7 linked regions of the Sus scrofa genome follow. Each later gene encodes a partner of the first gene's protein in a complex. Links are inferred from orthologs where the notes say so. Each region holds a gene or a part of one and is shown in the gene's direction. Other genes may lie near its edges.

What was found.
Region 2: NUP85 (region 1) and CETN3 share a complex: the UniProt entries of both Homo sapiens proteins name them as parts of the nuclear pore complex. The link is inferred for Sus scrofa from reciprocal best matches to the Homo sapiens genes NUP85 and CETN3.
Region 3: NUP85 (region 1) and E3 SUMO-protein ligase RanBP2 share a complex: the UniProt entries of both Homo sapiens proteins name them as parts of the nuclear pore complex. The link is inferred for Sus scrofa from reciprocal best matches to the Homo sapiens genes NUP85 and RANBP2.
Region 4: NUP85 (region 1) and CETN2 share a complex: the UniProt entries of both Homo sapiens proteins name them as parts of the nuclear pore complex. The link is inferred for Sus scrofa from reciprocal best matches to the Homo sapiens genes NUP85 and CETN2.
Region 5: the proteins of NUP85 (region 1) and NUP205 are in contact, whole or in part, in a cryo-EM structure (PDB 7TDZ), measured with the Xenopus laevis proteins. The link is inferred for Sus scrofa from reciprocal best matches to the Homo sapiens genes NUP85 and NUP205. Residues at the interface, in XP_041431608.1 of Xenopus laevis: Ala86, Glu87, Glu88, Ala89, Ser90, Gly91, Lys92, Ser93, Arg94, Lys95, Pro156, Pro239, Met240, Gly245, Thr246, Gln247, Thr248, Leu249, Thr250, Glu251, Phe252, Glu253, Leu254, Lys255, Trp256, Gln257, His258, Trp259, Pro315; in XP_041443600.1 of Xenopus laevis: Glu1477, Cys1480, Arg1481, Cys1484, Asp1485, Ser1517, Gly1518, Tyr1519, Leu1520, Lys1521, Val1522, Val1524, Asp1525, Ser1574, Gly1575, Gln1582, Gln1638, Gly1641, Gln1642, Gln1645, Val1648, Leu1690, Asp1691, Ile1692, Gly1693, Leu1694, Asn1695, Asp1696, Gly1697, Ser1698.
Region 6: NUP85 (region 1) and NUP188 share a complex: the UniProt entries of both Homo sapiens proteins name them as parts of the nuclear pore complex. The link is inferred for Sus scrofa from reciprocal best matches to the Homo sapiens genes NUP85 and NUP188.
Region 7: NUP85 (region 1) and NUP160 share a complex: the UniProt entries of both Homo sapiens proteins name them as parts of the nuclear pore complex. The link is inferred for Sus scrofa from reciprocal best matches to the Homo sapiens genes NUP85 and NUP160.

The regions. Positions count from the first base shown.
Region 1 is NC_010454.4:6,083,072-6,087,090, reverse strand, and holds part of NUP85 (nuclear pore complex protein Nup85), read left to right. Parts: intron 1-958; coding exon 959-1,093; intron 1,094-1,196; coding exon 1,197-1,319; intron 1,320-1,529; coding exon 1,530-1,661; intron 1,662-1,911; coding exon 1,912-2,018; intron 2,019-4,019. UniProt on the Homo sapiens protein: Essential component of the nuclear pore complex (NPC) that seems to be required for NPC assembly and maintenance. As part of the NPC Nup107-160 subcomplex plays a role in RNA export and in tethering NUP96/Nup98 and NUP153 to the nucleus.
Region 2 is NC_010444.4:97,590,447-97,595,010, reverse strand, and holds the start of CETN3 (centrin-3), read left to right. Parts: upstream 1-1,690; 5' UTR 1,691-1,812; coding exon 1,813-1,829; intron 1,830-3,627; coding exon 3,628-3,763; intron 3,764-4,564. UniProt on the Homo sapiens protein: Plays a fundamental role in microtubule-organizing center structure and function. As a component of the TREX-2 complex, involved in the export of mRNAs to the cytoplasm through the nuclear pores.
Region 3 is NC_010445.4:47,530,709-47,533,461, reverse strand, and holds the end of E3 SUMO-protein ligase RanBP2, read left to right. Parts: coding exon 1-76; intron 77-186; coding exon 187-521; intron 522-905; coding exon 906-1,214; 3' UTR 1,215-2,100; downstream 2,101-2,753. UniProt on the Homo sapiens protein: E3 SUMO-protein ligase which facilitates SUMO1 and SUMO2 conjugation by UBE2I. Involved in transport factor (Ran-GTP, karyopherin)-mediated protein import via the F-G repeat-containing domain which acts as a docking site for substrates.
Region 4 is NC_010461.5:123,902,900-123,907,699, reverse strand, and holds the start of CETN2 (centrin-2), read left to right. Parts: upstream 1-1,653; 5' UTR 1,654-1,707; coding exon 1,708-1,806; intron 1,807-2,711; coding exon 2,712-2,870; intron 2,871-3,125; coding exon 3,126-3,254; intron 3,255-4,291; coding exon 4,292-4,429; intron 4,430-4,800. UniProt on the Homo sapiens protein: Plays a fundamental role in microtubule organizing center structure and function. Required for centriole duplication and correct spindle formation. Has a role in regulating cytokinesis and genome stability via cooperation with CALM1 and CCP110.
Region 5 is NC_010460.4:13,767,346-13,771,364, reverse strand, and holds part of NUP205 (nuclear pore complex protein Nup205), read left to right. Parts: intron 1-975; coding exon 976-1,118; intron 1,119-1,470; exon of another isoform or gene 1,471-1,505; intron 1,506-2,781; coding exon 2,782-2,953; intron 2,954-4,019. UniProt on the Homo sapiens protein: Plays a role in the nuclear pore complex (NPC) assembly and/or maintenance. May anchor NUP62 and other nucleoporins, but not NUP153 and TPR, to the NPC.
Region 6 is NC_010443.5:269,307,835-269,311,853, forward strand, and holds part of NUP188 (nucleoporin NUP188 homolog), read left to right. Parts: coding exon 1-158; intron 159-1,210; coding exon 1,211-1,414; intron 1,415-1,560; coding exon 1,561-1,653; intron 1,654-2,015; coding exon 2,016-2,174; intron 2,175-2,437; coding exon 2,438-2,575; intron 2,576-3,167; coding exon 3,168-3,560; intron 3,561-3,663; coding exon 3,664-3,795; intron 3,796-4,019. UniProt on the Homo sapiens protein: Component of the nuclear pore complex (NPC), a complex required for the trafficking across the nuclear envelope. Required for proper protein transport into the nucleus.
Region 7 is NC_010444.4:14,838,592-14,843,289, forward strand, and holds the start of NUP160 (nuclear pore complex protein Nup160), read left to right. Parts: upstream 1-1,464; coding exon 1,465-1,470; intron 1,471-1,900; coding exon 1,901-2,222; intron 2,223-2,488; coding exon 2,489-2,600; intron 2,601-4,698. UniProt on the Homo sapiens protein: Functions as a component of the nuclear pore complex (NPC). Involved in poly(A)+ RNA transport.

The DNA.
Region 1 (4,019 bases):
ATTCCTGGCCTTGCTCAGTGGGTTAAGGATCCAGTGTTGCCGTGAATTGTGGTGTAGGTTGCAGACACGACTCAGATCCTGTGTTGCTGTGGCTGTGCTTTAGGCTGGCAGTTACAGCTCCAATTAGACCCCTAGCCTGGGAACCTCTATGGCCGTAGGAGCGGCTCTAGAAAAGGCAAAAAGACCAAAAAAAAAAAAAAAAAAAGTATACATATATATATATATATATCTTGTTGATTCATTAGCATTGAACTCATGGCCAACAGCCCTGTAAACCTTGTCTGAATGAAGCTCATCTAACATGTATATTCTGACATGATACATGGCACGTTATAGCCTTCTTTGCACTTAGCACTGAGCGGCACTTCAGCACAACGCTTGGGGGCCCAACAAAACGCATGAAAATGTAAAAAATACGGCGCTAAATAGATCGCAAAAAAGATACTTATTTAGTGTGAGAGCTGATACCAGAAGGTGGAACTCCAGTTGTTCAGCCTCAGCTGGTAACGTGTGTATCAGGTGACTCACATTTGTTGCCCCTTTCTGGGCACATGTCCAGAAATGATGGTGAAAGCACCTCAGATATTGACTTGGGGGTTACAAATAAATTTCAGCAGGCAGCCGTCTGCACAGATACGGAATCTGACTGGAGAGGCTCAGTGGTAATAATGTTGATTGTATATGTGCATGTATGTATGTATTTGAACTCAGAGTTTTATGAACCAGTACTTTATTTGATGCACTTGGAATTTTTTATTTTATTGTGCTTATTTTTAAAAAGTTACAACCTCAGTGGGTTACATGTGTGGTTTGAGAAGCATGGTACAGGTTCAAACTGTGAGACTCAATGAATCCGATTACCTCGGGAGCTTCTCCAGGGCTAGAAAGCCAGAGTCTGGGCTTAGGGGACTGGCTTCTGAGCCTGCCGTGAACGTGTGTGTCCTTGGGTGTCCTCCAGGTGACCATCCTGGTGCTGCAGGGCCGGCTGGACGAGGCCCGGCAGATGCTCTCCAAGGAAGCCGACGCCAGCCCCACCTCTGCAGGCATGTGCCGCGTCCTGGGGGACCTGATGAGGACAATGCCCGTTCTCAGCGTATGTGGGAGCGGCTGGCCTCTCCCGGGTCCTGGAGATGGGGTCCTGCAATGAGAATAAGGGGTCGTGTGCTGACGGGCTCGCTCTGTGTCTCTTGCCGTAGCCTGGTAACACTCAGACGTTGACCGAGCTGGAGCTGAAGTGGCAGCACTGGCACGAGGAGTGCGAGCGGCACCTCCAAGATGGCACATTCGCCTCCAGTCCTCACCTCGAGTCTCTTTGCAAGGTCTGTGGGAAGCAAGTCCAGGTCGGGGCCCAAGCTGGCTTTCCCTGGGGACCGCAGCATCCAGCGCAGCAGCGGCAGGAACTTGGTCCTTGGACAGGGCTGTCAGCTGCGTCTGGAAGGAGAGAGCTTTCAAAGCTGGTGCTGCAGCCGAGATCAGGAGGTGATGTAGCAGTCTCGCCCAGAGCTAAGGAGTCGTGTCTCTCTTCTCAGATCATGCTGGGAGACGAAGCTGCCCTGTTGGAGCAAAAGGAGCTTCTGAGTAACTGGTACCATTTCCTAGTGACCCGGCTCCTGTACTCTTGTCCCACAGTGAAACCCATGGACCTGCACTGCTATGCCCAGGTGAGCCTGCGCTCCCCGGAGTGCGCCTGGGGCATAGGAACCCTGAGGTGCCGCCCCGCCCCCGCTGGGTCATTTTCACCCCTTGGCCTCTTGGAGTTGAACCCCCCTGGAGAACAGGAAGGGGCTTTCCTTGGGCGCTTTTTGCAGGACCCCGTCACCCTTCCCCAGGGTGCCTTACCCAGCAGCCCTGCCTGCCCCCTTGAGTCTCTGCTGGCATCTGGGGATTGAATGGGTCACCCCCTTTCCACAGTCCAGCCTGGACCTGTTTCTGGGAGGTGAGAGCAGCGCAGAACCCTTGGACAACATCTTGTTGGCAGCCTTCGAGTTCGACATCCACCAAGTGATAAAGGAGTGCAGGTAGGCCCTGCTGCCGCCGCCGGCGGTACGGTCCGCGCGGGACCGCCCTCGCAGCCGTCCTCGCCTCCAGTGCCTCTGCTTGCTGGTGTCTCAGCTTTCTTCCCACAGACCTGCTGCCCCTGTGCAGCCACATGTGGGCAGGTCATGGCTTCTCTCTGGAGAGCTTGGGGCCCTTCCTGAGGCTTGACGGCTCTTGTATTTGTAACAGTTTCCATTTCAGGGATGTTTACTTAACATAACGTTGCAGGAAATTCCTTTGATATTTAAAACCTAGAATTAACAGACACTAAGCGGATTCTTGGAACCCAACGAACATGCAATCACCGTAAGGGACGGAGCTCTCAACAGTCTCACTCTCTGGTGAGCCAGGGTACCACACCTTCGGCCCTTGATTGGGTCTGTTCAGAGCAGGGATTCTGCATCAGCCCGCTCCCCAAAAGGGTATCTTGTCATTACACTGAACCTTCAGCAAGGCAGGAAAGGAGTGTGAAATGTGATCCAAGGTAGAGCTTTCCAGAAATTTGCACGTTGTAATAAGTCAGAATTTACCTTCCCGGAGTTCCTGTCGTGGCGCAGTGGTGAACGAATCCGACTAGGAACCATGAGGTTGCGGGTTCGGTCCCTGCCCTTGCTCAGTGGGTTAAGGATCTGGCGTTGCCGTGAGCTGTGGTGTAGGTTGCAGACGCGGCTCGGATCCCGCGTTGCTGTGGCTCTGGCGTAGGCCGGTGGCTGCAGCTCCGATTCAACCCCTAGCCTGGGAACCTCCATATGCCGTGGGAGTGGCCCAAGAAATAGCAAAAAAAGACAAAAAAAAAAAGAATTTACCTTCCCTTGTGCAGTCTGGAGAGTGGCGTTGCACCAGTGACGCCCAGAAGAAAGCTAGGAACGCAGCAGGTGGCCTTGCTCACGTATCAACTCATTGACCTTGACTGAACCTACTTTTTTTGGTAAATCAGGGCAATGGGAAGGGTTCCCCACCTGCTGCCATCTCTTCCTGTTTTGGCCAAAAGAGAGCCAGGGCTTCAAGAAAATGCTCTTAGATTTGGAGAAAGGAAAACGGGTTTTGTGTCAGCGTTCTTTTCAGAGACTTACAGAGACTTTAGTTGGTGCCTGAAGACAACTTCAAGAGTTTGGCTGATGGCGGTGGGGGTGGGGGTGGCATCTGCCTGGAGCGGGTAGTGACAGTAACTTAGAAAGGCACACACGTCATTATTTCACTTTGTCAGTGTCTCTGCCTATAGTTTAAAGCAACAGTCTTGCCCGACGCTTGTCTGTTAGTGGCAGTGGGTTATTTCCTCCTGGGCCTCCTTCCTAAGCCACATACGGCTTTTAAGGAACAAAACAGAGTTGAAAAGAACGAGGAGAAGAATAATAAAAAGGGAAGGTACTTCGTTCTTTTCAGTGGCAACAGAAGGAAAAGCTAGAGAAGTGTCAACAGAGAGGGTGGCTTTTGTGAATCCACAGGTTACGGCATCACTCCAACGCCAGTCGCAAAGGAGGAAAGGTCGGCTTGTAGCCCCTCAGTCTGGGCGCCTCTCTGCCCCGGCAAGTAGGACAGGGTCTGAAGCTTCTGTTGGCACTGCATCTAGGAGCTTGGGCTTACCTGAGCAGGAAGCCATCTCCTAGCCCATTTCGAAGGAGGCCCTGAAAAGCGCGTCGCGGGACCTCATCCCACGGTTTGGAAGCAGGGCCGAAGTCTCTTCGGAGGGTGTTAGAGGCGGAAGGACTGGATTTGGGGTCTTGTGGGCATGTGCTTTCTCTTGGGTTGTGCCGGTCAGGCCCGAGCTGGGCCCGGAGGGGAGGGGGCACGTCTCTTTGGAGCTGGGCCAGTGCGTTGGTGGGACGGGGCGGCCTGGCTGATGCAGATGTGATGTCAGCTGGGGTCACGGCTACCCTGTGACAGCGGAGTGAGGGCGCTCCTCTCTCAAGGCACTGGAGGGGAGGTTTCTGCAGGGCAGACCCAGAGGGGCAGCGGGGACTCCCGAAGTGGAGTACAGAACC
Region 2 (4,564 bases), on another chromosome or scaffold:
CCTCATATCAAGCAAAACACTGAAATCCTTCATGGTGATGTCTGCTTCTAATGACTAGTAGTAACCTTCATGAGGCCAGTAGCAAATTTTTGTAAACTGTATGCATGACTGCATGCACCTCCCCCTTTACCTTTATCACCAGTTATATCCTGGTATTTCCCCTTTCCTCTCTGAGGCTATATTTATTAGAGCTGTGTGAATGCAGCCACCTCCAAGGCTAAGCTGCTGAGCCCTGAGGGAACTCAGGAAAGAAAGAATACCTGTCACTTTGCAGCCATCAGACTACAGCCACTCCTAACAGCAAAGTGTGAGGAAATTTAGGCTGTGAAAACACGGGATACTGGCCCAGATAGCTAAAGTGCATATCAAAGGAATGATTTTAGTGAGGCCAGACCTCTGGGTCTTCCCAAAGAAAAGGGCTTAATTCTGTAACTTGAGATACCTAGTTTTCGGTAATCTTTTGTTCCTACTACCTGCCCTTTGTTCAAAAAACAACAACAACAAAAAAAAACCCAAAACCCCAATGACAATAAAAAACTTCCTCTATATCCTTATTCCCCCCTACTCCCGCTGCAGAATGTTTTTTTCTGGGTTACTTCAGATGTTTCCTCCTGGGCTTAAGACCTGATTTTGCCCCAAACAAAACTTAACTTTTAGGTTGTGCATTTTTTTTTTTTTTAAGTCAACACATTCTTTACTTATCTAAATTTAGTTCAAACTTCTAGGCCTAACATAAATGCCATCTCCTTCAAGAAGTCTTTCTTCTATCCTGCTGTGTTCTTTCCCTTCTATATATATCTTCCCCCTTCCCCTGTTGGACACTCTCAGGCTATTTTATGAGATTTGCAGTTTAGCTCAGTACTTTGTGAGTTTCCATAGCAAGATTCCATTCAATACAGCAATATTTATTGAGCACCTCTGCATCAGACATTGTACTAGGCCTTAGGAATAGCGTTAAATGAAACCCCGGCCTTCAAGATTAGTAGGAGAGACGAACAGGTAAACACATTAAATACCCCAGTGAGCTTCAAGAGACTTGGTTCGGTAGTGAAGTACCAAAGCACCTCAAAGGAGGTATAGGGGAGCAATTGCCATCTAGGCACAGCTTCACCGTAAATAGCCTAATAATTCAACCCAGTGATTATAAAGGTATAATTAACAGCTCCTGCCTCAGAATCATTTGGATTTTGTAAGGAAAAAGAAAAAAGGCAGATTCACATCTACTAGAATCAGAATGAAGGAAAGTGACACTTAAATCTGAGTTTTAAACAAACTCCCCATGTATTTAAATCATCCAAAATTTAAGAATAGAGTGGAGCCAAATTTCGCAGATCTCATTCACAAGCTACTTCCTCCTCCTAGCAGGACAACCTGCGGGGTGTCTCTTCCCTTCCTGCGCCGTTTCCAGACGTCGTCCACATGCCGCAGGCCTTCTCTCCTGAGGCTTTGGTCAGTCACCCTCAGTCCGAAAAGCCCAGCGGACACTCAGACCCTCGCTCCGCAAAGGATTGGAGGGGGTGGGGGCTACGCTACAGGTCAACCTAAAAGGCGGGAGGGGCAGCAAGAGAGCCGAAAGGGAGAGCTCTTTGATTGACGCGAAAAATGCCCAATGAGAGAAGAGGACTAGTGACGCTTCCGCCCTAATGGGCAAGGCATTAGCTATTTCAACCAATCCAGCTCAGAAATGTCTACCTTGTGGGAGGTCTTGAGGCTGCTTAGGTCGTTGTCTGTTGAACCGCTTGTGGAAGTCGTTCGGCTTTGAGTAGGGGGTTAAAGTCGTTCTCGAGAGGAAAGTCTCTGGCCGAAGAGAAAATGAGTTTAGCTCTGAGGTCGGTAATGAGGAGGCGGCAATGCTCTCCACACCACGCAGCGGGCCCCAGGGTGGGTGTGTGTGGAAGGGAGGCAGCTTGGGGCGAGGCAAGGAAGGGAATGCAGTTTGGGACGAGGGAAGGGAGCCTTGGCCACCTTTCCTGGGCCAGACTCCTCATCTTCGGGGCCCGGGTGAGCTCCGTGCAGTTAGACGGTCATTTCTGTCAGGCCACTGGGCTTTGGACCCCAACAACCTGGGTTGTTATAGTCTCGAGGAGGCAGTGAAATATCGCGAGGTTTCTACGCTCTTGTTTATGTGAACTAGGAAACCAGGCCTTGGAGCATCCTTAGTAAAGTTCCCGTCATTCCTTCGCTTATGGCCTCCACCGCAGCTCCCTTCCTGCTAACATCTAACCCGTAGATTTTAGAAATAACGTAAAGCCCTCCTTGCTTCACTATGTAATAGTAGACCCATTTTAGTGCTTTTAGTTGGTAATCTCTTAGATTCCCTGAGTTTATTTTTCGCTCATTTCCAACCACTAACCTACCATTTGTTGCCTACTTCCCAACTCCGACTAGGCGTGTTACCGTAAAAATACCTATAGAGTTACACCTAACTAAAAAGGTACCGAGTTCTGATAAGGCATAATCGTGGTATCCTTGGCTGGGGTCAGTGGTCGGTGGTTTGCGAACTTGTCCTCTCAAAATCTTGGGAAAAGAATGGCCGACCCCCAGAACGTCCAGGCTTGTGTGAAGTGGGGTCTCCTGTGAAAGCAAGATCTACCTCAGCTTTATCATATCTCTTTTGGTCACTTTCTAGTCATCTCTTGCCTTTTGTGTGTGTGTGTGTGTGTGTGTGTGGTAGATTTCAGAGAACAAAGCAACTTAAAATGCAAACAGATAACGTGTCTAATAAAATCAACTGGGTTTTTACATTTTCTAAGTTTTACAGAATTCTTCTGCTTCAAACTTGCAACCCTATTTGAAAATTTGGAACATCTCAAGATATTTCTGGCTTTTACAATAAATTCCTTTTTTTCTTCAGCCTTTTTCAGGGTTTATGAAAAATTAAATCCAAATGTATATGTTAAGTGAGATTTACAAGACAGTTGACTCCACATTATTATATAGCGTTAGCACAAATATGTACTTTTCTGGTGTTTAATAGTATGCTTAGGCTAAGTTTTTTGGGTGATTGTTAATAATATCAGTGGGAGAAATTGCAAATAAAATGCCAAACTTAAAAATGTGTAATCTAAAAACACTTTTGATCCACAATGCCAAAAGAGTTTATGTTAATTGATGAGTTAGATGTCTTTTTGTAGTAATTTTGATAGTTATTAACACTATAAAAGTAAGCCTAATATGTAGTGATCATCAATTGTGAATTCTTTTTTTTTTTTTTAACAGACATTGTAAAACGAGTAACTATGGGTGCTTTGTTTTTTTGGGGGGGTTCTGATATAAAACTAATGTTTCTTATTCACATTTCTTGTTTCTTCCATAGTAATATTAGTGGAAATAAATAAAAAGCCAGGAGGAAGGGAAGTAAGGTCCTCATTTCTTTAATAACTTAACACTTTTCAGTTTTAGGAAGCACAAGTTTATAGCACCTTAGTCGATGGGAAGAGCAGGGCTTTGACTCATGTAAGGAAAATCTCTTCCTTTCATGTAAGGAAAATACTTCCTTTTTAGAAATTTAGGTATTTATTAATTGGCTAATTTTTTGTATTTTTGGATTCTTATTTGAGTCATTTAGAAGCATAGGAGAATGGGATTAAAGTGCAATAAATAGGGTTTTCTGTCTTCATTTCATAGAAATGAGCTTGTAGTAGACAAAACAAAAAGGAAAAAAAGAAGAGAACTCTCTGAAGAACAGAAACAAGAAATTAAAGATGCTTTTGAACTATTTGACACGGACAAAGATGAAGCAATAGATTACCATGAATTAAAGGTAATATACTCGACCTCTATCTGTTAAAATGATTTGCATATTGACAGTTGATTAAAAATATATTTATAAATATTTTAATTTGGTTTTGGAAATATGAAATCATTTTAAACATTTACCATTAAGTGCTTTTAATAAAATTGAATAGTACTTGTAGCATATCTTTTTAGAAACTCCTTCTCATATGGTAAAATGAATAGTATAATGTAAAAATACATTCCTATGGAGGGGCTTATTTTTCATTCACGTAGTTAAAAAAAATAAAGCTATGGTATTTAAACTATACTTACCGTATTCCTCTTCCCACTTTGGTGTTTCTTCTTTTTTGGTGACATATTTTTCAGATTGAGGGAGTGTTACTCGTTTTTTAATTTGAACATGTTGGTAACAGTCTCATCCTGTTTTCTCTGGTGCAGGAAACATAAGTGATATCTGATGTTGACACAATGCTAATGGGGAAAGTGTCAATTTTAGGTTCTAGAAATATTTATAAAGAATCAAAGGGGAATTGGTATTTAAGGTAGGTTGGATCTTACACTCAGCACAATGAGGAAGATAGTATTCTTATAGCTCTGTACTCACAGTTTCTTTTAGTTACCCAGTTTTGATCAATTCTTTTTTTTAATAATGTTTCTTCTATTTGTTGCTATTGTTATTATATTGGTTTGGGATCTTAATTCATATCTGAAACTTCCTAATTGGTTTCTCTTTTTCCTGTACACTCTCATTAAATTCATCTTTCTAAAATTCTTTCATCATATTATTCATTGCTCATAAGCTTTATTTTGTATACTCCGTAAAGTT
Region 3 (2,753 bases), on another chromosome or scaffold:
ATCACCAAAACCATGGAATTGAAACCCTTGAATGTCTCCAACAATGCTTTAGTTTGGACTGCCTCAGACTATGCTGGTGAGCTCTGCACTCAGACTTTCCCACAATTGAGAACAAATACATAGAACAATGTGTATAACACTTAGCGCAACACTAAGACCACTGTTTTGTTTGTTGTTGTTTGATAGATGGAGAAGCCAAAGTGGAACAGCTTGCAGTGAGATTTAAAACTAAAGAAATGGCTGATTGTTTTAAGAAAACCTTTGAAGAATGTCAACAGAATTTGTTGAAACATCAGAAAGGACAAACATCACTAACAGCAGAGTTATCAAAGGAGACAAATCCTGTGGTGTTTTTTGATGTTTGTGCAGATGATCAACCTCTAGGACGCATAACCATGGAATTATTTTCAAACGTTGTTCCTCAGACCGCTGAGAACTTCAGAGCACTGTGCACTGGAGAGAAGGGCTTCGGTTACAAGCACTCCATCTTCCACAGAGTGATCCCAGATTTTGTTTGCCAAGTAAGTCTTCAGTGCACCTCACAGTGGGGGTCTAGAAAGGGACAGCACACCTACCTGGGCAACTTGAGTGTTTCTCAGTTTTTCCAGACTTCCTTCCCTTTTCCACACAGCAGTTGGTGTCCCTACCCCAGCTTCTGTCCCAGCAGAACATTCAGTCTAAAAGGGTTCATATTTCTAAATGCCTTGAACCTGCCAGAAATTGAGGTGGGAAAAGATCTCTTCCATTTTTATCCTCCTTCATAAATGCACGGTGCTCAGTTTTCAAACTAACAAAGCTTAGGTTCGCAGCGAAGCTGGGTGTTTAACACCTGTCCTTCAGTGGTTAGTTCTTTATGCATTTTAACAGTGTCTTTGGGATTCTTGTTAATTGAAATCTCTTTTCAGGGGGGAGACATCACCAAACATGATGGATCGGGAGGACGGTCCATTTATGGAGATAAATTTGAAGATGAAAACTTTGATGTGAAACATACTGGTCCTGGCTTACTGTCAATGGCCAATCGAGGCCAGAATACCAACAATTCTCAATTTTTCATAACACTGAAAAAAGCAGAACATTTGGACTTTAAGCATGTAGTATTTGGCTTTGTTAAGGATGGCATGGATACTGTGAAAAAGATTGAATCATTTGGTTCTCCTAAAGGGTCAGTTAGTCGAAGAATTACTATCGTAGAATGTGGACAGATACAGTAAAATCATTGTTTCAGTAAATTTTTCTTGTATAAACCGTTGAATTAAAGCCTAGCTGTTATGACAATATGGTAATTATGTTCAGCTTTTGAAAATGGACGTTTCCAATGTATAAATGTAAAATTGCAGCTTATAGCTGTTGTCGCTTTTTAATGTGTTATAATTGACCTTGCATGGTGTGAAATAAACGTTTAAACACTGGTGTATTTCAGGTGTACTTGTGTTTATGTACTCCTGACATCTGTATTAAAGTGGAATAATACTTATTTTGTTCAAAGCAATAGACCTTCTCAAACTATTGAAGGATATATATGCAATTTAATTTTAATTCCTTTTATGATATTGGACTTCCTGCATGAATATACTTACTGTTTGAATAAAGGGACCATGACTTGGATAATTTTTCCTTTAGATTTGGAATATATTTTGTAATTTTAACTATTGGTGTGCTCATTTATGAATAGAGATTCACTTGTGAATGGATGGAGCCACAGAGGGTAGAAACTTAACCAAAGTGCTCTTCTATAAATTCTTGCACATCCTGTATAGTTAAATTAACTTTTAAGCAAAGTAACTTCTTTCCTTAAAAAAGATATGAAGCTTCCAAGGTATTAAATTAATTTTTACATTTTAAACAAGTTGATTATTTACATTTTTAGAAAAAAATCTTTGTCATCTGTTTCTGCTACCTCAAACTGCACTTGGTTCTGAGAGAACTTGAATTTTTCCTTGCAGTTATTGTGATAAAGTATGCATATTTTAAAAAGGTCTATACCATGTTCTTTGGTTAAAGATTTGCTTTATACTAGATTGTTGCAGTACCTTTTTCTGGTGAATTTTTGTAGCAAAAATAAAGTGACAATTGTTAACAGCCATGGCATTTAAAAAATTCATTGTGCATCTAGTTGTTTGTTCATTTTGGAATCAAATGAGGATAATTAGAGATCTGTAAACTCAAAAGTGCCATGTAAATTCCAGAGTTCCCAAGGACATGACTTTTCAAGTTGGGTAGACATTGAAAACTTGGAAACGGCTAGAGTCACAATTCGACACAAGGGGGAGATGTACTCATCTGACTACTCAGTGTAGCACTGCCAGGACAAGTTAGCACACAGGTTGCAACTTAGAATCGCTGCCAGTGGCTGCTATCTGCCTTCCTGTGTTTTTCCCAGTGAGGTCGCCTCATTTGTGTAGGGAGGGGCTGTGGGGTGGGCTCACTTGAGGTTCTCCTCCCTGGAGCTGGTGGGCGGCGCTGACCCTCAGAATCAAGTGTGTGTATGTTTGAGTATCTATATGCGTGTGTCTGTTTTTTATGTGGGTGCGCGTCTGCGCTGAACCTGCTTCTCAGCGGGGACTCGGGTTTAGGGGAAATTACAAGTAAAGGCAAGCACACCTGAGATTTCTCGCTCTGTAAACAGATTTCCGTGGCACCTTGAGCATTACAACTGTGGACTGAAAGATGTGGAAACGGATACTTTTAACCAAAACCGACTCTCTAGGATTGCTGTTCACAGCTGTTTCCAATGGGCAGCAGCATCTTTG
Region 4 (4,800 bases), on another chromosome or scaffold:
TGCCAGCAGTGAACAAAACAAAGATGCCTGCACCCATATGGCTTCCCTTCTAGTGGATGGGCAAAGAAGAACAAAATAAATAAGGATACAGTTATAAGTACTAGGGGATAAAAACAGAGAAAGGTGTAGGGTTTGGGTGTTCTGGGAGATGCAGGGCTAAATAGGATGCTTAGGGTGGCTCACTGAGAAGGTGACAGTGGAGCAAAGACCTGGAAGAAGGAAACAAGTAGAACAAACAGGCAGAAGAGATGGTTGGAACAAAAGTTTGAAGGCAGGAGTGTGTCCGTGCATTTGAGTCCATCAAGGAAGCTAGTGTCCTGGGGCTGGAGCAGCCAGGGGAGAGGAGGAAGCATGTTGGGATGGGCCTTGCAGAGCATGGTGAGAGCTCTGGCTTGTACCCACAGGGGGGCTGCTGCTGAAGGCGTGAAGTGGGACAGGAGCAACAGAGGTGGAAAAGAGAAAAGAAACACCCTTTAAGGAGGAAGCTGACAGAAAGTGGAGGCTAGTTAGTGGGGCCAGGGCAGGAAGAGTCAAATAGGACCAAAAGGTTTTGGACTCGGCTTGTGCTCAAAGAGGAAGAGGGTAAAGGGCAGAAGTTCGGCAAACATTTTCGCTTAATGAATGTCAATAAATCTCAGGCTTTCTTCAGCCTGAGAAACTTATGCTCTGTCCCCTGCTTCCCAAAATGCTGTGCCAATGCCCAGAGGTGAAGCAGGTAAGGGCTGAGAGGCAAGAAGTGCCCTTACACTGGGCTGGCTAAGGAAGGCAGACCTTGGACTTCCAGGGCCACTGTTCCAGCTCCCTTTCATCTGTTACCGTGGCACACGCCCCCTTGTAATTCTCTGAGCAAGCCTCACCTTTCCAAAACGGCTCTGTGACTTTGCTCATGAAGTGTCCCCACCTGGAATACTCCTCACTATCCGCCTTGAGTGTTTGGTTGTCAAAATGAGTATATTTTGATGATCTGTCCCCTTTATGCTCACTCAAATCTCCTTCACTCCCTTCAAAGGCCGTTCCTAGGCCCCCAGCTCATCTTCCCGAGCTGCTTTTAGCCAGGTGAGAACTAAAGTGATCCTATCTTGTTATCTATTTGGGGTGGGACGGACACGCCCAAAGAAAGAGCCTCAGGTGGATGAATTCAGCTTCTAAGTCCCAGACGTCCGAATTTCTGTGATAACGCCCGGCCTCTGCCTTTCCTTCTCCGTCTCAGTTGCCCCGTAAATACATCCTCTGCTCCAACACGCAAGGTCACGGTCTTCTCTGGCCCCTCTGACCCTAACTCAGTCTTAGTCCAGACCAGAAAGTCCCCGACCGGGTGAGGGCTTGTTACCTTTTCGAGCCCCGCGAAAGGCCCCACCCAATTCCTTGCCTTTCCAGTCCTATCGCCAACCCAAGAGCGAGGTCGCAACCCTTACCTGTTGGTAGGTGCCTCCCTGGCCGGCCTCAGCGCATCGGTAGCCTACAGCCTCAGAGCTCCAGGCGCCAGCAACCACCTGTTTCTCCCCACCCTTATGAGGCTACTATCAGCCGAGGCGCCTCCACCAAAGGGATTGGTGCTGGCTCGGCCAATCAGCGCTCGCGGTGTAATCCTGCCCAATAAGGCCAGGCCGCGCCACAATGCCCTGCGCCCTGCGTCAGGCCTCCGTCGGGTTAGTCCCACCCACTCCAGCACTGTGCCAATGGGGAGCTGCAGTCATCTGTCCTCCAATGGGGTGCAAGGCCGCGCGCAGGGGGCGGTGGGAAGGGCGCCGAGTCGGTGTGTACGTCCGTTGCCGTAACAACGGGAAGCGGAGTCCATCGGCGATGGTGAGTGCTTGTTACCCTTTCGAACCCTGTGTCCAGAAGCTGAGCCCTTCACAGGCCTTGGCCTGGCCCCGCCGTCTCTCCTGCGCGGTTCTCGGCTTTGGCGCACTCTTTCCTCTGAGCGCTTCCCGGAAGGGTAGGGTAGAGATCCTGGCCGCCCTGCTGGGCCTGCGATTAGCCGCTGCGTCCCATTCAAGCCACAGCTGGCCCCTATCCGTCCTTCGGGCTCCCCTGGCTCCTTCGGTGACCACCTCTGGTCAAAACAGACTCGGGCTCTTCGCACACCCCGACCACTTCCAGACTCTGGCCTCCTGGCCGCCTCTACCAAAGTTTCTACCCAGAGCCTAGGGGAAGTTTATTGTGTTTGATTGTTAATGTGCATTTAAAATGTTAAATATTGGGACTTCGGAAACGCTTTGACCTTCTTGGGGAAGGCTCAGATGTGCCGAGGGGATTGAGTTTTATTATTCGATATTGACAGAATATACATCTTAACTTAGTATTTGGCCAAATTAGAAGTAATCAGAAAATCTTATAACTTAGAGCGAAGCAGAATAGCGTTCTAAGGACATTTTTAGATTTAGGGTCCCAAATTCAGAGAGAGCTGATTATCTGTACATTTATCCAGAGTCAGCTCCTTGGCCAGCTCTCTTTTTAGATGATTTCAAATAAGAGATATCCAAAAGAACAAAGGATCTCCTTCTAGAAACAGTAGTAAAGAAGAGGGAGGGATAGAGGTGCAGAGAAAGAGTATTTGCTCTTTTCACTAAACGCTGTTATTTCTCCTGTTAGTTTTGGAATTCGTTGGTATAAACTATTTTAAAAGTAGATAGGATTGTAACATATTTATGTAAAATATGTACCCTATTACATAATACCGTGCTTCTCTGTTTGTGAAACATATAAAGGCCTCTAACTTTAAGAAGACAAACGTGGCATCTGCTGCCCAGCGAAAAAGGATGAGCCCTAAACCAGAGCTTACTGAAGAGCAGAAACAGGAAATCCGAGAAGCTTTTGATCTCTTTGATGCTGATGGAACTGGGACAATAGATGTTAAAGAACTTAAGGCAAGCCCTGTACATTCCTGCTCTGCTGCCTTGACTTTTCTCTGCCTCTTTCTCTTCTGTGCTGTTTTTCTGTCTTTATTTACCTCAAGTATTATTAAACAAAATTGAGTGCAAATATCAATTTGCTTAATGTTATAGTGTTTCCTAATTATTTTAACATGATTGTGTCAGATACTGGCTTAATGCTCTCAATGCTGTCATTTTTTGCCCCTGGGTTTAGATGTACATATTGAGATGATCCTGTTTTCATTGCAGGTGGCAATGAGGGCACTGGGCTTTGAACCCAAGAAAGAAGAGATCAAGAAAATGATAAGTGAAATCGATAAGGAAGGGACAGGAAAAATGAACTTCAGTGACTTTTTAACTGTGATGACTCAGAAAATGGTAGGTTAGCTAAGATGATGGGTGTATTTTCCACCAATAATGGTGGACAGATTTGAGTCTAGATATGAAAGTGTCTTTTCACCCATTGGTCCCTTTCTCTTTCATTGGCCTCCTGGCTCCTCCTCAGTGTGGCTCATGTACATTCTACTGGCCCGTGGAAAAGTAGCTCCATCAGTGCTTCAGCTGTGCTTCCCAAGGCACAGGTCTCTTCCCACTCTAATAATCCTGTTGCTTTGAAATCATCTAATCACACCCATATTTTTCTTCAGGGACTAAGTTAAGAGTTCAGGAAGCTTTTCCTCTTTTCCTCTGTCAGAGTACCTGGGATTCTAGTAACTCTTGGTGCTCTCATAAGTGAAATCGCCTTCTCTTTCCTCCCTGCTCCCCTCTGCCCCCAAGAGGATCCCAGCTTAAGCAGTGGAATTTCCTCTAAACTTAATCCCATCATCTGCTGCTGTATTTTATTTATTTATTTATTTTTTTGTCTTTTGTTGTTGTTGTTGTTGTTGTTGCTATTTCTTGGGCCGCTCCCGCGGCATATGGAGGTTCCCAGGCTAGGGGTTGAATCGGAGCTGTAGCCACCGGCCTACACCAGAGCCACAGCAACGTGGCATCCGAGCCGCGTCTGCAACCTACACCACAGCTCACGGCAACGCCGGATCGTTAACCCACTGAGCAAGGGCAGGGACCGAACCCGCAACCTCATGGTTCCTAGTCGGATTCGTTAACCACTGCGCCACGACGGGAACTCCTGCTGCTGTATTTTAAAAAGCAGTCTACTTTTCTCTTCCATTTGTATAGAAAATGTTTTAAGTGCAAGCCTTTATATTTCCTTCTTAGCCTCTGGGATTGTACCAATTTCATGTTTGTCCCCTCTCTCTACGCTGGTTGATTTTTGATCTTCTGTGACCTAGCACCAATGTCATGAGGCCATGTGGTGCTGTTGTGGCAGGGCAGAGGGGATGGTGCTAGGGTTGTGGGACACAGGTAATTATGAGTCTCTTTACTCATGTGTTTTTTATGTTCTACTTGTTAAGTCTGAGAAGGATACCAAAGAAGAAATCCTGAAAGCTTTCAAGCTCTTCGATGACGATGAAACTGGGAAGATATCGTTCAAGAATCTAAAACGCGTGGCCAAGGAGTTGGGCGAGAACCTCACTGACGAGGAGCTGCAGGTGTGTGATGTGTCAGCCTGGAGCCCTGTGTGGCTTTTCCGTGTTATGTTTTCTCTAATGCTTTGGAGGAAAACTAGCATTCTCTTGTCCCTCTAGTGACCATTTAATTTCTTTTTCAATAGTGTGGCAAACGTATGGGCGCTGCTGCCTCACGGATAGTTTTACTTACTATTTTAGGTTTTAGGCGTCTCCCTGGTCAAGATGATCTTCGAGCTCAGGTGATACATGTGTGGCAAAGGATGGCTGGGTTTTCAAATAACTTTTCGGGAGGCAAGCTATTATAAGAAGCAGCATCTTGTAGTGTGTGTGTGTGTGCGGGGGACTACAATTGTCTATTCAGGTAGCATTATAAAAGCCTATTATTTAGTCAC
Region 5 (4,019 bases), on another chromosome or scaffold:
CTGCTTTTCATTTGGAGGATAAGGAGGAAAGGAAAGGCAGTTACATTTATTGAGTGCCTAGGATATGCCAGACATTATATTGTATTTTTACCTCATTTAATCCAGTCAACCCTATGAAGCAAATGATGTTCCTATTTTATACGTATAAGGAAACTGAAATGTAAAAAGGTTATCTTCTCACTCCATATCAAGTAACTAATAAAGTGGCAAAACCAGGTTTAGCTGACATTCTAGTTTATTTTATTTTATTTGTCTTTTTGCATTTTGTTGAGCCCCTCCTGCGGCATATGGAGGTTCCCAGGCTAGGGGTCTAATTGGAGCTGTAGCCACCAGCCTACACCACAGCCACAGCAATGCGGGATCCGAGCCGCGTCTTCGGCCCACACCACAGCTTACGGCAACGCCAGATCTTTAACCCACTGAGCAAGCCAGGGATAGAACCCACAACCTCGTGGTTCCTAGTCAGATTCGTTAACCACTGCGCCACGACGGGAACCCCTGATGTTCTAGTTTAAAGTCAGGATTTACTTTAAGTTAGGTGACTTGATATTGTTGCTTGTGGATTCTGATATTCTTTTTTGCTTTTTTGCTTTTTAGGGCTGTGCCTCCAACATGGAAGTTCCCAGGCTAGGGGTCGAATCGGGGCTGCAGCTGCCAGCCTAGGCCACAGCCATAGCAACAGGGGATCTGAGCCCTGTCTGTGACCCACACCACAGCTCAAGGCAAAGCCTGTTCCTTAATCCATTGAGTGGGGCCAGGGAACCAACCTTCGTCCTCACTGATACCAGCTGGGTTCATTACTGCTGAGCCACAACGGGAATGCCCTGATATTCTTTTAAATTAATGTTTGATTTGTCTATAGAACTCTTTATGTTTTAAAGTCGCTGTGAGCATGACTAAAATGTGCAGACGATAACCTTATCATATTTTCCAAATACATGTTTTATTTGATGCTGGTTTATTTTTTTCTTTAAGCTGCTAGTCTGTGGGGTCCTTACAAAGACATTTGGCAAACCGTGGGAAATGCTCTTTGGAGAAGACAACCTGAAGCCGTCCACCTTCTTGACATGATTCTGAAGAAGCACAAACCTGACTTCATCTCATTGTTCAGAAATCCAGTAGGAAAATTTCTTTTTATGCTTCTTGGATTTGCTTTTTCTTTTCTTTTTTCTTTTTAAGACTAATGGAGCAAGGGAATTCTTAATGCATGTAAATGACATATCTTACTTGTTCTAGTGTGTTGATTCAAATTTTTTCTAAAAATGGAATTTTTCTTAGCAATTATTATCTTTTTTTGGTTCTCCATATAAATTAAAATTGTATTTATCTCTAGCGAGGAGATATCTTAATAATGTCTGAATATGATTTAGAAAGTTCAGTATATTCCAGAAATAAGAGCCTCATTGGAATTTCTGACTTACAGTTAATCCAACTAAGCTTAGTAAGATTGATTATTTTATTTATTTCCAGGTATACTTCAACATTTTAACTCTTCATAATGTTATGTAAGTTGTGTTAGCTGAACTAATTAATTCTTACATACCATTAATCACTGCATTTTGACATACATTTCAGCCAGGAGTTGAGTACTTCACTGGCTGGGATTTGTATTTGGAAACTCCTTTCCCCGCTGTTTGGCAGCTTTGTTTTTTATACACTAACAAGACTCTCTAAGAACTATTTATGAATTTGTCTTACCAGAAAGAACCTTAGCTTGAGAGACAGTTGAGCTGAGTTCTTGTCTCGACTCTACCACTAAAGAGTTGTATAACCACAGGCAAGTCACCTGACTTATCTGAGCATCAGTTTTTCCCTTCTGTTAATAGAGGAGTTGGATTAAATAACTGAATGCCCTTTTTCAAGGTATAAATACCTAAAGCTTTTATGATCCATCTGGTATTCTATTTTATATGTTATTTATTAAATATTTGCACAAAGTAAGCCTTTTTGCAAATAAGACTACATTTTTAAATAACGTACTAATAAGCTATTATCAGCCCTACTAATTAATTCAACATTTCATTTCCATTTGTTGTTTCCCACTTGAAGACTTTGTTGTTTTTATATTTATTAAAGATATAATTGGAAAATTCCTTAGATACTTGAAAAACAGTAGGCTAGTTTGTGTGATTTCTCAACATTTTGTAGTTCAGAGTTTAGGAGAAGCGGTTACTGAGAAAGTCATAGTAATATAAAAAGTTAGGAAGTTCCCTTGTGGTGCACAGGTTAAGGATCTGATGTCGCCACAGCTGTGATGCAGGTTGCAACTGTGGCACAGGTTCAGTTCCTGGCCAGAGCACTTGCATATGCTGTGGATGCAACCAAAAAAAAAAAAAAAAGAAACTGAAGGTAGAATGTTACCACAATGTACTTGTAGGTTTTCTACAATATTATTGCACAAGAAATATTCCTGTTTGTCATGATATCAGGCTGCTTTATGAATAAACTTCTCCAGTAACCTTTTTTTTTTTTTAAGGTCACAGGTGTGGCATATGGAAGCTTCCAGGCTAGGAGTTGCAGCTGCCAGCCTATGTCACAGCCACCACAACACCAGATCCCAGCCATATCTGCAAGTTACACCACAGCTCACAGCAATGCCAGATCCTTAGCCCACTAAGTGGAGCCCGGGATCGAACCCATATCCTCATGGATACTAGTCGGGTTCGTTTCTACTGAGCTACACGGGAAACTCCTCCAGTAACAATTTAGTACCTTGTCTCTAATATGCACTTTTCATTGCATGATTCTATTTATTCATTCTATTTATTTTCATTGTTGTAGCCAAAAAATGTTCAACAACATGAGAAGGTTCAGAAAGCCAGTACAGAGGGAGTTGCCATCCAGGGTCAACAGGGAACCCGACTTCTTCCTGAACAGCTCATTAAAGAGGCCTTTATCCTCAGTGACCTTTTTGATATTGGAGAATTGGCAGCTGTTGAACTTCTTCTTGCTGGTAGGTTGACACTTAATGAACCTATGTTAAGGTAATACATAAATATAAAATGTTTATTCACTTGTAATTTGAAGTATTATATCATTTAGATTCTAAAATGGTTTCTAAGGATGTAGCTTATTCAAAATATTTCCTTTTGTTTATCTTCGACCAATCGGAAGGTTTTAGTTAGCAGAGTTGTTAAAGGAACTTTAACTGTTTCAAGATAGGCTTCTCCGTGGTTGTTGCTTAGGAAAAAATAACTGGCTGCATCTCTGAAGTTTTATAGTAGAAAGTATTTATTGTCATATAATGAGTAAGAAGGTAGTATTACTTCTTTTTTGGAATTTTTTTTGAGGGGTTGATTCAAATAAAGAATAAGATTATTTCAATAATACTGAGTTCTAGGAAGAAAATAAAACAAGGCAGGGGGATGTAGAGAGATGTGGGCTAGTAGGGGGCAGCTGTACGTGGGGTACTTCGGGACAGCCTATCTGAGACTAGGACTTTTGTCTTGACACCTGCGTGATGACAAGATACCAGAATTGTTGGGGTGGGATGTTCCAGGGAGAGCAGACAGCTTGAGGTAAGAAGAAAGACATGCTGAAGGATAAGAGACCATCGAGAATGAGGGGGAGAGTAAAGGAAGACAAGGACAGAGCCAGAGTCAGATCATAGGCTTGCAGGCCATGAAAATTGCAATGGTGAGCTGTTCTGACTGCAGTGGGAAGTTGTTAGCAGGGGCTGTAAGCTGGAGAGTTGCAGAAAGAGCGAAAGAATTGGGAGTTCCCTGGTGGCCTAGTGGTTAAGGATTCATTGTCACTGCTATGGTTCGAGTCATTCCTGAGGTTTGAGTTACTGCCATGGCTTAGATTCAGTCCTTTGTCCAGGAACTTCCACATGCTGTGGGCATAGCCAAAAAAGAAAGAAAGAAAAAAAAAAGAGAAAAGATTGAAATTTCCATAAAATAAGTAGTTGATTTTAATTATAAAGGAGGAGACGTGTAGAAGACAGGTGGTTATTTTATTTTTTTACATTTTAGGGCCACATCTGTGGCATATGGAAGTTCCCAGGCTAGGGGTCGAAT
Region 6 (4,019 bases), on another chromosome or scaffold:
AGCTGGTGCTGAACGTCTGCGAGACCCTCCAGGAAGAAGTAATTGCACTCTTCGACCAGACCCGCCACAGCCTGGCATCGGGCAGTGCTGCAGAGGACAAGGACAGCATGGAAACTGATGACTGCTCCCGGCCCCGGCACAAGGACCAGCGTGACGGGGTGAGGGACCGCCCTGGGAAGCTGGCTGTCCTTCCCACCTGCTTCCACAAAGATGAGTTGCTGCCCACTCTGTGCCAGGCCCTGGGGGGATTAGTGAATAAGACAGATAGGCACTGCGCTTGCGGAGGTCACAGCCTGGCGGAGGAAGCTGGTCAATCAGATTGTGCAGAGGAGCGTCGGGAGTCCATCCTGGCAAGTCTAGCAGGGGTGAAACACAGGGAAAAGGTGCAGTGTGGAGGTGCCGCCTGATCTAGGGACTCAGAGAGAAGGCGCCCTCTGGGCAGTGACCTGAAGCATTGGTAGAGCCGGGCAGGCCGAAGGCACAAGGAAGATTCAGGCAGCAAGACTAGCACGTGCTGAGCTCATGGTCGCCTGGAGCCAGCCAGGCCGAAGGGAGGCCTGAGAGCGGGGCAGGGACGACCAGCGGCCTCGTCGGCGCCTTTGACCCGGGTCCTCCGAGGACCAGGAGAGGATCTGAGGAGTTTAAGATTAGCCCTTGAGAGAGAGTGCGCTGGGTGTGGTATGTAGAACAGTGTTTTTTCAACCGGGCAGGTTAAGACCTACTAATATCTCAGTTTGGTTACAACCAGCAACTTTTTAGTAAAGTAGAATAAAACATCAAAGAAAATCTGTGTAAGCTTTGCAGGAGGTAAGGGGAGGTACAGTGTGATGAAAACACGCAGGTGTGTGTGCGCTGGAGCGCACTGTGCAGAGTGCCCGCTGCTCCGGGCGGGTGAAGGTCGAGAGAAGTGAAAAGCCCCTGGGGTGAAGAGTTGGGGCAGAGGGATCCAGGACTAGACAGAAGGACCACTCAGGCAGGGAGGAGCGCAGCAGGAGGGGAGGTCGTTTTCACTCTGGGTGGCAGCTGAATCGGGCAGTGGCAGTTTGGGTGCGGGGAGGGAGTGCGGCTGAGAGGGTCCGGTCTCCACAGGCTCCCTGAGGTGTGGCTGACCCCGAGGTGCAGGTGCCCACACGAGGTCTGCCCGCGTCTCTTCCCGCCTTCCCCCGCACCACTTCCTTCCCTTTTGCTCATCTTTGTCTCTGGGCTCCAGCAGGTGTGTGTCCTGGGCCTGCACCTGGCCAAGGAGCTCTGCGAGGTGGATGAGGACGGTGACTCGTGGCTGCAGGTGACCCGAAGGCTCCCCATCCTGCCTACCCTCTTCACCACCCTGGAGGTGAGCCTTCGCATGAAGCAGAACCTGCACTTCACCGAGGCTGCGCTGCACCTGCTCCTCACCCTGGCTCGCACCCAGCAGGTAGGAGGCAAGCCCCAGGGCAGCAGGGAGCCTCTTCGCTTGTGCCGCGTGGCTTCTGACACTGCCTGTGACCCTCCCAGCCTGGGCCTGCCCCCTGTCCCTGGATGGGCACAGCTTCCGTCCCATTCCGCCTCTTTCCTTCCCAGGGAGCCACAGCAGTGGCCGGAGCCGGCATCACCCAGAGCATCTGTCTGCCCCTCCTGAGTGTGTACCAGCTCAGCACCAATGGGACAGCACAGGTGAGAGCCAGTGGCCTGCCAACGCCCTTCCCCAGCTCCCGGGTTGCTTTCCTTAGCGGCCTAGTGAAGGCGCCGTGGTTCAGAATCCTCCCTGCCCGCTCAGCGGTCTCTAGCGAGAGCAGTCACAGCTAGGAGGGTCGGACCCACGTCCAGAACCTGGGATTCCTGTGGCTCTGTCTAGTGCTGTTCCCTTGTCACTGCCACCTCCAGACCCTCGCCGGCCCCGCCGGTGCCCCTTCCAGGAGGTTTCCCCCTCCTGGAAGCCAGGCTGCCTTAGCTGCTGGCCTGCAGGGAGGCCCTCCTGTCCCTCTCGGCTGGGCTCCTTGGCACCTGCCACCATCGTGCCTGCCGTTGTGTCTCAGACGCCCAGCGCCTCTCGGAAGTCCCTGGATGCCCCCTCGTGGCCGGGTGTCTACCGCCTGTCCATGTCTCTGATGGAGCGGCTCCTCAAGACGTTGCGCTACAACTTCCTGACCGAGGCCCTGGACTTCGTGGGGGTCCACCAGGAGCGCACCCTACAGGTGAGAGGCTGCCCGCGTCTCGGGGGTCGGGGCTGTTCAGGGCTGAGGCTGGGGTCAAGGATGCTGTACGGAGTGCCGGCTGCCCCAGGCCAACCTGCCAAGTGCGGGGCATGGGCTGGGATCAGCTCAGCTGGAACCTCTTGGTCAGAAACCTTAGTCATAACGCCATGCCACCGGGTGCCACCACCTCAGCGTCTGAGGGCAGGAGCAGGTGCGGCTGGTCCCTGTGTCACCTGGTCTCTCCCTGTGTCCCCCTGTCCCAGTGCCTCAACGCGGTGAGGACTGTGCAGAGTCTGGCCTGCCTGGAGGAGGCGGACCACACTGTGGGCTTCATCCTGCAGCTGTCCAGCTTCATGAAGGAGTGGCACTTCCACCTGCCCCAGCTCATGCGGGACGTCCAGGTGGGCCTCCGCCGCCATCCCCCGGCGGGTCTGGGGACACACTCGGGGGCGGGGCGCTGAGGGAAAGGCGGGCCTGTTCCTGGAGTGTGGGCTTTTTGCCCAGGTAGCACAGGGTTTGGTTTCACGTTGCTTCCTCCGGAAGGGCAGCCTCCTAGGCTGAGAACCTGGGCTCTGTCCCGTAGATTCCCATAGCTGGGAATCAGCCAGAGAGGGCAGGGGAAGAACACAGCCTGGCGTTTGCTGGTTGTGTGACCTTGGCCAGGTCACCTCACCGCTCTCTAAGCCTGTTTCTTCTGTAAGATGGGAAAGTCACCCCCACCTTATTTATTCACTTGGGACCTTAGACTGTGTCCGACATGCATCTGGGTCCCAGGGAGTCGGTCCAGGCCTCTGTTGAGCCAGAGTTAGCACGTGAGCACGCTTGGCAGCAGTGGTGATTTTGAGCCTGGGAAGGTAGGGAGGTGAGCACTGTAGGTGCTCTGGGAGCGGAGAAGCACGTGCTTGGCACGTGGAGCCCGGCTTGGGTGGTCTGGTCAGTTGGCTGGGCTGCTGCCACGAGGACCCTCTCAGCCCTCCCCTGGGTTTGCTGTAGGTAAACCTGGGCTACCTGTGCCAGGCCTGCACCTGCCTCCTGCATAGCCGCAAGATGCTACAGCACTACCTGCAGGTAACCCAGCCCCACCCGCCACTGCCGCCTGGACCGCCTCACCCCTGGCTTCTCTGGGCTCCAGCTCTTGTCTCCTCCCTGCAGAACAAAAATGGGGAGGGCCTCCCCTCGGCCGTTGCTCCCCGGGCCCAGCGGCCCCCCACGGCTGCCCCTTCCTGCTCCTCCTCCTCCTCCTCCAAGCAGCCCACGCCCGACACAGAGGCCGCGGAGCAGCGCGCCTTGCACGCGGTCCAGTACGGCCTCCTCAAGATCCTCAGCAGGACCCTGGCAGCCCTGCGCCACTTCACCCCCGACGTCTGCCAGATCCTGCTGGACCAGGTAGTGGCCCCAGTGCGCCGCTGAGGCGCGGCCGTGCCCCGCGCGGCGCCGAGAGCTGCCCGGGCTCCGGCAGGGCCTCGACGGCTCTCGTCTCGCCTTGCAGTCCCTGGACCTGGCGGAGTACAACCTCCTCTTCTCCCTGAGCTTCACCACCCCCACCTTCGACTCGGACGTGGCCCCCTCCTTCGGGACGCTCCTGGCCACCGTCAACGTGGCCCTCAACATGCTGGGAGAGGTGAGCTGGCTCTGGGCGGGCCCGCAGCCCAAGCGCCTCCCAGTCAGCCTTTCCCGGGCGCCACCTCGCGTGCGTTTGCCCAGCCTTCCCAGCCTGCTGCTCCTCCCGAAGCGAGAGCGGTGGCGCCCGTGGAAGGACGAGTGTGGGGTCCAGGGAGGCAGCTCGTAGACTGCTTAGCGCAGGCGGCGCCCTCGGGGAGGTGCAGCTTCCACCGAGCCCTCGTT
Region 7 (4,698 bases), on another chromosome or scaffold:
CCAAGGGATTCAATTGTGAGGGTGGAGCCCTCACGAAAAAGGGATTGGTGCCCTATTAAAAAAAGACCCTACAGGGAGTTTCCATCATGGCTCAGTGGGTTAAGAGTCTGACTAGTACCCATGAGAGTGCAGGTTCAATCCCTGACCTTGCTCAGTGGGTTTAAGGACCCACTTTATCCCATGAGCTGTGGTGCAGGTCGCAGATGCAGCTTGGATGTGGCACTGTTGCGGCTGTGGCGTAGGCCAGCAGCTGCAGCTCCAATTGGACCGCTAACTTGGGAACTTCCATATGCCACAGGTGCAACCATAAAAAAGCAAAAACAAACCAACAACAAAAAAAATCCCCACAATTTAAGGACACGGCACAAGAGATGGCTGTCTATAAATCAGGAAGCTGACTCTCACCTGACGCTGAATCTGCTGGTCTCTTGATTTTGGACTTCCCAGGCTCCAAAACTGTGTGCAGTACGTGTTAGCTGTTTAAGCCACCCAGCATATAGTATTTTGTGAAACAAGAAGAAACAAAATGTAAGTGGTGTTTAGGAACAGTTAGAGTGTATTTGTAAAATGGAGAGGCAGGGAGAACAACAGCAAAATAAGATCAACTGGAGTTGTTTCCATTATCTAAGAATGAAATGTGGAAGACTGTTGAGGAAAAGTATGAATGTAAAGGAAAGACAAGAGAATGTTCCTGATATCTATTGCTGGCTAACAAATTACCCCAAACTTAGTGACTTTTGACTCTCTCACCAGACATCTCTCACTTTAAGTAACTTGAGAGCCCTTCCATGTGGTCTCTCCCCATGATTCCTCCAGGATGGCAACCCCAGGATAGCTGAATTTATTAGATGGCTTCCCTCCTAGTTAGCACTCCAAGAGAGAAACAGACTCTGTTAAGGCTAGTCTGGGAGTTTCTGTCCTGGTGCAGCGGAAGCAAATATGAGCAGGAACCATGTGGTTTCCGGTTAGGTCCCTGGCCTCGCTCAGTGGGTTGAGGATCTGGCGTTCCCATGAGCTGTGGTGTCGCAGAGGCGGCTCGGATCTGGTGTTGCTGTGGCGGTGGCATAGGCTGGCGGCTACAGCTCCGATTGGACCCCTTGCCTGGGAACCTGCATGTGCCGTGGGTACGGCCCTAAAAAGGACAAAAGACCCAAAAAAAAAAAAAAAATTAAAAGGCTAATCTGGCACAGAGTCACTTCTGCTGTGTTCAATGAGTTACAGCAGTTACAGAGCCCTCCCAGATTCCAGAGGAAGGGACAAAGACCCACCTCCTGATGGGAAAAAGTCAAAGAATTTGTGGTCGTCTTTAATCTGTCATGTTGATACATGAGATTTAGACTAACTTTCCCCTTGAAGACTGGCATTTTCCTCCAAATCCAGCATCTACTCTGCCCTAAATGCAGGTAAAGCACAAGACCTTCCAAACAGATCACAAATGGAAGATAAAGGAAATTTCTTTCACGTATGCAAGTGAGTAGCATTTAGGGGCTTCAAGCAGGTAACTGCATCAATGTTTAATTAAACACATTATGCTTCATTATACAAGAACACACGAATACAGTCTCTCGAAAAAACCCAACACAAAAGGCCACTCTGCCCTTCACTCCGCCCCCAACCCACGTCGCTGAAAGGTGAAGAAAAGGAGACCAGGCGGAGATTCACTGAGTAACACGGGGAAGCAAGGAGAGGCGATCAAAAGCTCGAAATCCAGTAGATGGCGCCCATCTGCGTGGCCTCCTAGGACCTCGCCCCTCCCTGGAGGCTCTGCCCAGCCGCTGCCCGCGCCGGAGTTTTTAAAATGGAAACAAACCCGGCTCCGCCCCCTTCCCTGAGGCCGCCGGGAAAATGGCACCGCCCCTTGGGGCTTCCTCGCCGGACACGCAAAGGTTCCTGCAGGTAGATCCTGCAAGCTCCCCCTGCCTCCTCTCATCTGGCTTCCTCCTTGCCCACCCTGTCTCCGGCCAGCTCGGTGGAAGCCTCACAACGGTGGGTCGGACAGGCCCTAGACCTTTCCGGGTTTCTTCACCTGTCCGCATCTGTGCTTGCTCCGCCCCCGGAAGTGACGACAGCCGCCCGGCTGGGCTGGTGTCCCGTCAGGCCTCGCGGCGGCGGCGGCGGGAAGATGGCGGCGGCGGGAGCCATGGAACGGAGCTTCGTAGAGCTCAGCGGAGCTGAGCGCGAAAGGCCAAGGCACTTTCGGGAATTCGCAGTTTGCGACATTGGTACGGAAGCATCCAGTAGGGCTCGATGCAGCTCCTGCCCTCGGGATCTTCCCGTGGATCCCTAAATCTCTGTCCTCCAGTTCATCCTCCTGAGCCCACATGCCTCCAGCCCCGGATTCAGAGCTTCATTAGTGTTCTACTTCTTTCTCTTTTTTTCCCCTTTTTGCATGGATTTTCAGTCTGTCACCCTCTGCTTTCTCAGCGCCCTCAGTCCGTGTCATCCCCTGAGAACCACGTGTGCAAGGGTGACCACTCTTCTTTTGCAGGAACTGCAAATGCAGTGGCCGGAGCTGTGAAATACAGTGAGAGCGCGGGAGGCTTCTACTACGTGGAAAGTGGCAAGTTGTTCTCCGTCACCAGAAACAGGTTCATTCATTGGTAAGTGCTGTGTTTGTCAAATCTCCCGAAAGGGCGTTTTGTTCGGCGGCTGAATTTTCGTGACTGTTCCCAAGGTGTCGTTTATTCTCCGAAGTGGTTATAGACAGGAAAAGAGAAAGACTGTTTCCTATTGATATCTGAGTCAGTGGAAAATTAAGCAGGCACAGAGTTCTGGAAGAGGTGCCCTCCCTGGCAGCACTAAAAAGAAGAAATGTAGCTTCGAGGGTAAAGCCCCAAAGATCAGTTCTAAGCATGAAGCCGTTATATTTTTATAGTGCTTTAAGCTTCCTTCATTCTACAAATTAGTCTTGAGTTTTTACATGTCAAGCACTGCTAGGTGTTCTAGGAGTGCAGGGATGAACAAAAACAGTCTCCATTTTCATCCTGCAAGATATAGTAGTGTAAGAATAGATGTGGACACATCTTTCATGGGGCAGTTTTGAGAAGGAAAAAGACATTAAGCTGGAGTTCCCTTGTGGTGCGACAGGTTAAGGATCTGGCATTGTCACTGCAACAGCCCAAGTTGCTGCTGTGACACAGATTCTTTCCCTGGCCGGGGATCTTCTACATGCCTCAGGTGTGACCCCCAAAACGCCATTAAGCTAATGACCCCACATAAGTATGTAAATGAAGTTTTTCATACTTCCCTCAGAGGAAAAGTATGAGAAGCTAATGGGAAAATCAGATGTAATTGGCGTGTCTGGGAAGGCCTGAAGTAAGTCACATTTCATCTGAAGGAGGAAAGGTTAGCTAGGCATGGAGTTGGGAGAGAGAGCAGTTTAGCAAGTGGGATCACCAAATGGAGAGTCCACAAGGTGGAAAGAACTTGACAAATTTGAAGAACTGACTGAAGCTCTGTGCGGCATAAGTGCATTGGGCAAAATGGAAAGTGATATGAGTGATGCTGAGACTAGGGAGGTAAGCAGGACTCCGATCAAGAAGAACCCTCAGGTCCTTTTCAGGGATTTGGGATTTTTATCCTAAGTACATTGAGCAGTCATTGGAGAGTCTTAAAGTGTTACTAACATGGTCAAAGTCACACTTTAAAATAATCAGTCTACTTTGTGGAAAGTAGACTTGGATTGGATGGGTACAGTATGAAAGAAGAATTTGCTTTCATGGTGAACCAAGTAAGATATGCTGGTTGTGGGATTGGCTAGGGAAAGAGAATTAGATGGACTCAAGATACACGTGGAGTTCCTGACAGGCCCCCGGGTTCCCATGTGGCTTAGCAGGTTAAGTATCCAGCAGTTGTCACTGCTGTGGTGTGGGTTCATTCCCTGGCTCGGGAACATCCACATGCCTTGGGCGCAGCCAAAAGAAAAAAAAAAAGATACACTTAGAAAGTAGCTTCAGGAGTTCCCGTCGTGGTGCAGTGGTTAACGAATCCGACTAGGAACCATGAGGTTGAGGGTTCGGTCCCTGCCCTTGCTCAGTGGGTTAACGATCCAGCGTTGCCGTGAGCTGTGGTGTAGGTTGCAGACGCGGCTCGGATCCTGCGTTGCTGTGGCTCTGGTGTATGCCGGGGACTACAGCTCCGATTCGACCCCTAGCCTGGGAACCTCCATATGCCGCGGGAGCGGCCCAAAGAAATAGCAAAAAGACAAAAAAAAAAAAAAAAAAAAAGAAAGTAGCTTCATTAGGACCTGGTAGTGGACTGAATATGGGGTACAGAATGGTGAGGGAAAAAGGGAGCAAGGACAACTCCCTGGTTTCCCATATGACTAACCAGATACTGACATATGGAATATGGGTTTGGGAGAGATGTAAATAATTCTTTTAGGAGTTCCCGTCGTGGCACAGTGGTTAACGAATCCGACTAGGAACCATGAGGTTGCGGGTTCGGTCCCTGCCCTTGCTCAGTGGGTTAACGATCCGGCGTTGCCGTGAGCTGTGGTGTAGGTTACAGACGCGGCTCGGATCCCACGTTGCTGTGGCTCTGGCGTAGGCCGGTGGCTACAGCTCCAATTGCACCCCTAGCCTGGGAACCTCCATATGCAGTGGGAGCGGCCCAAGAAATAACAAAAAGACCAAAAAAAAAATAATAATAATAATTCTTTTAGACATACTATTGAAGTATCTGTGTAGTAGCTGTTTG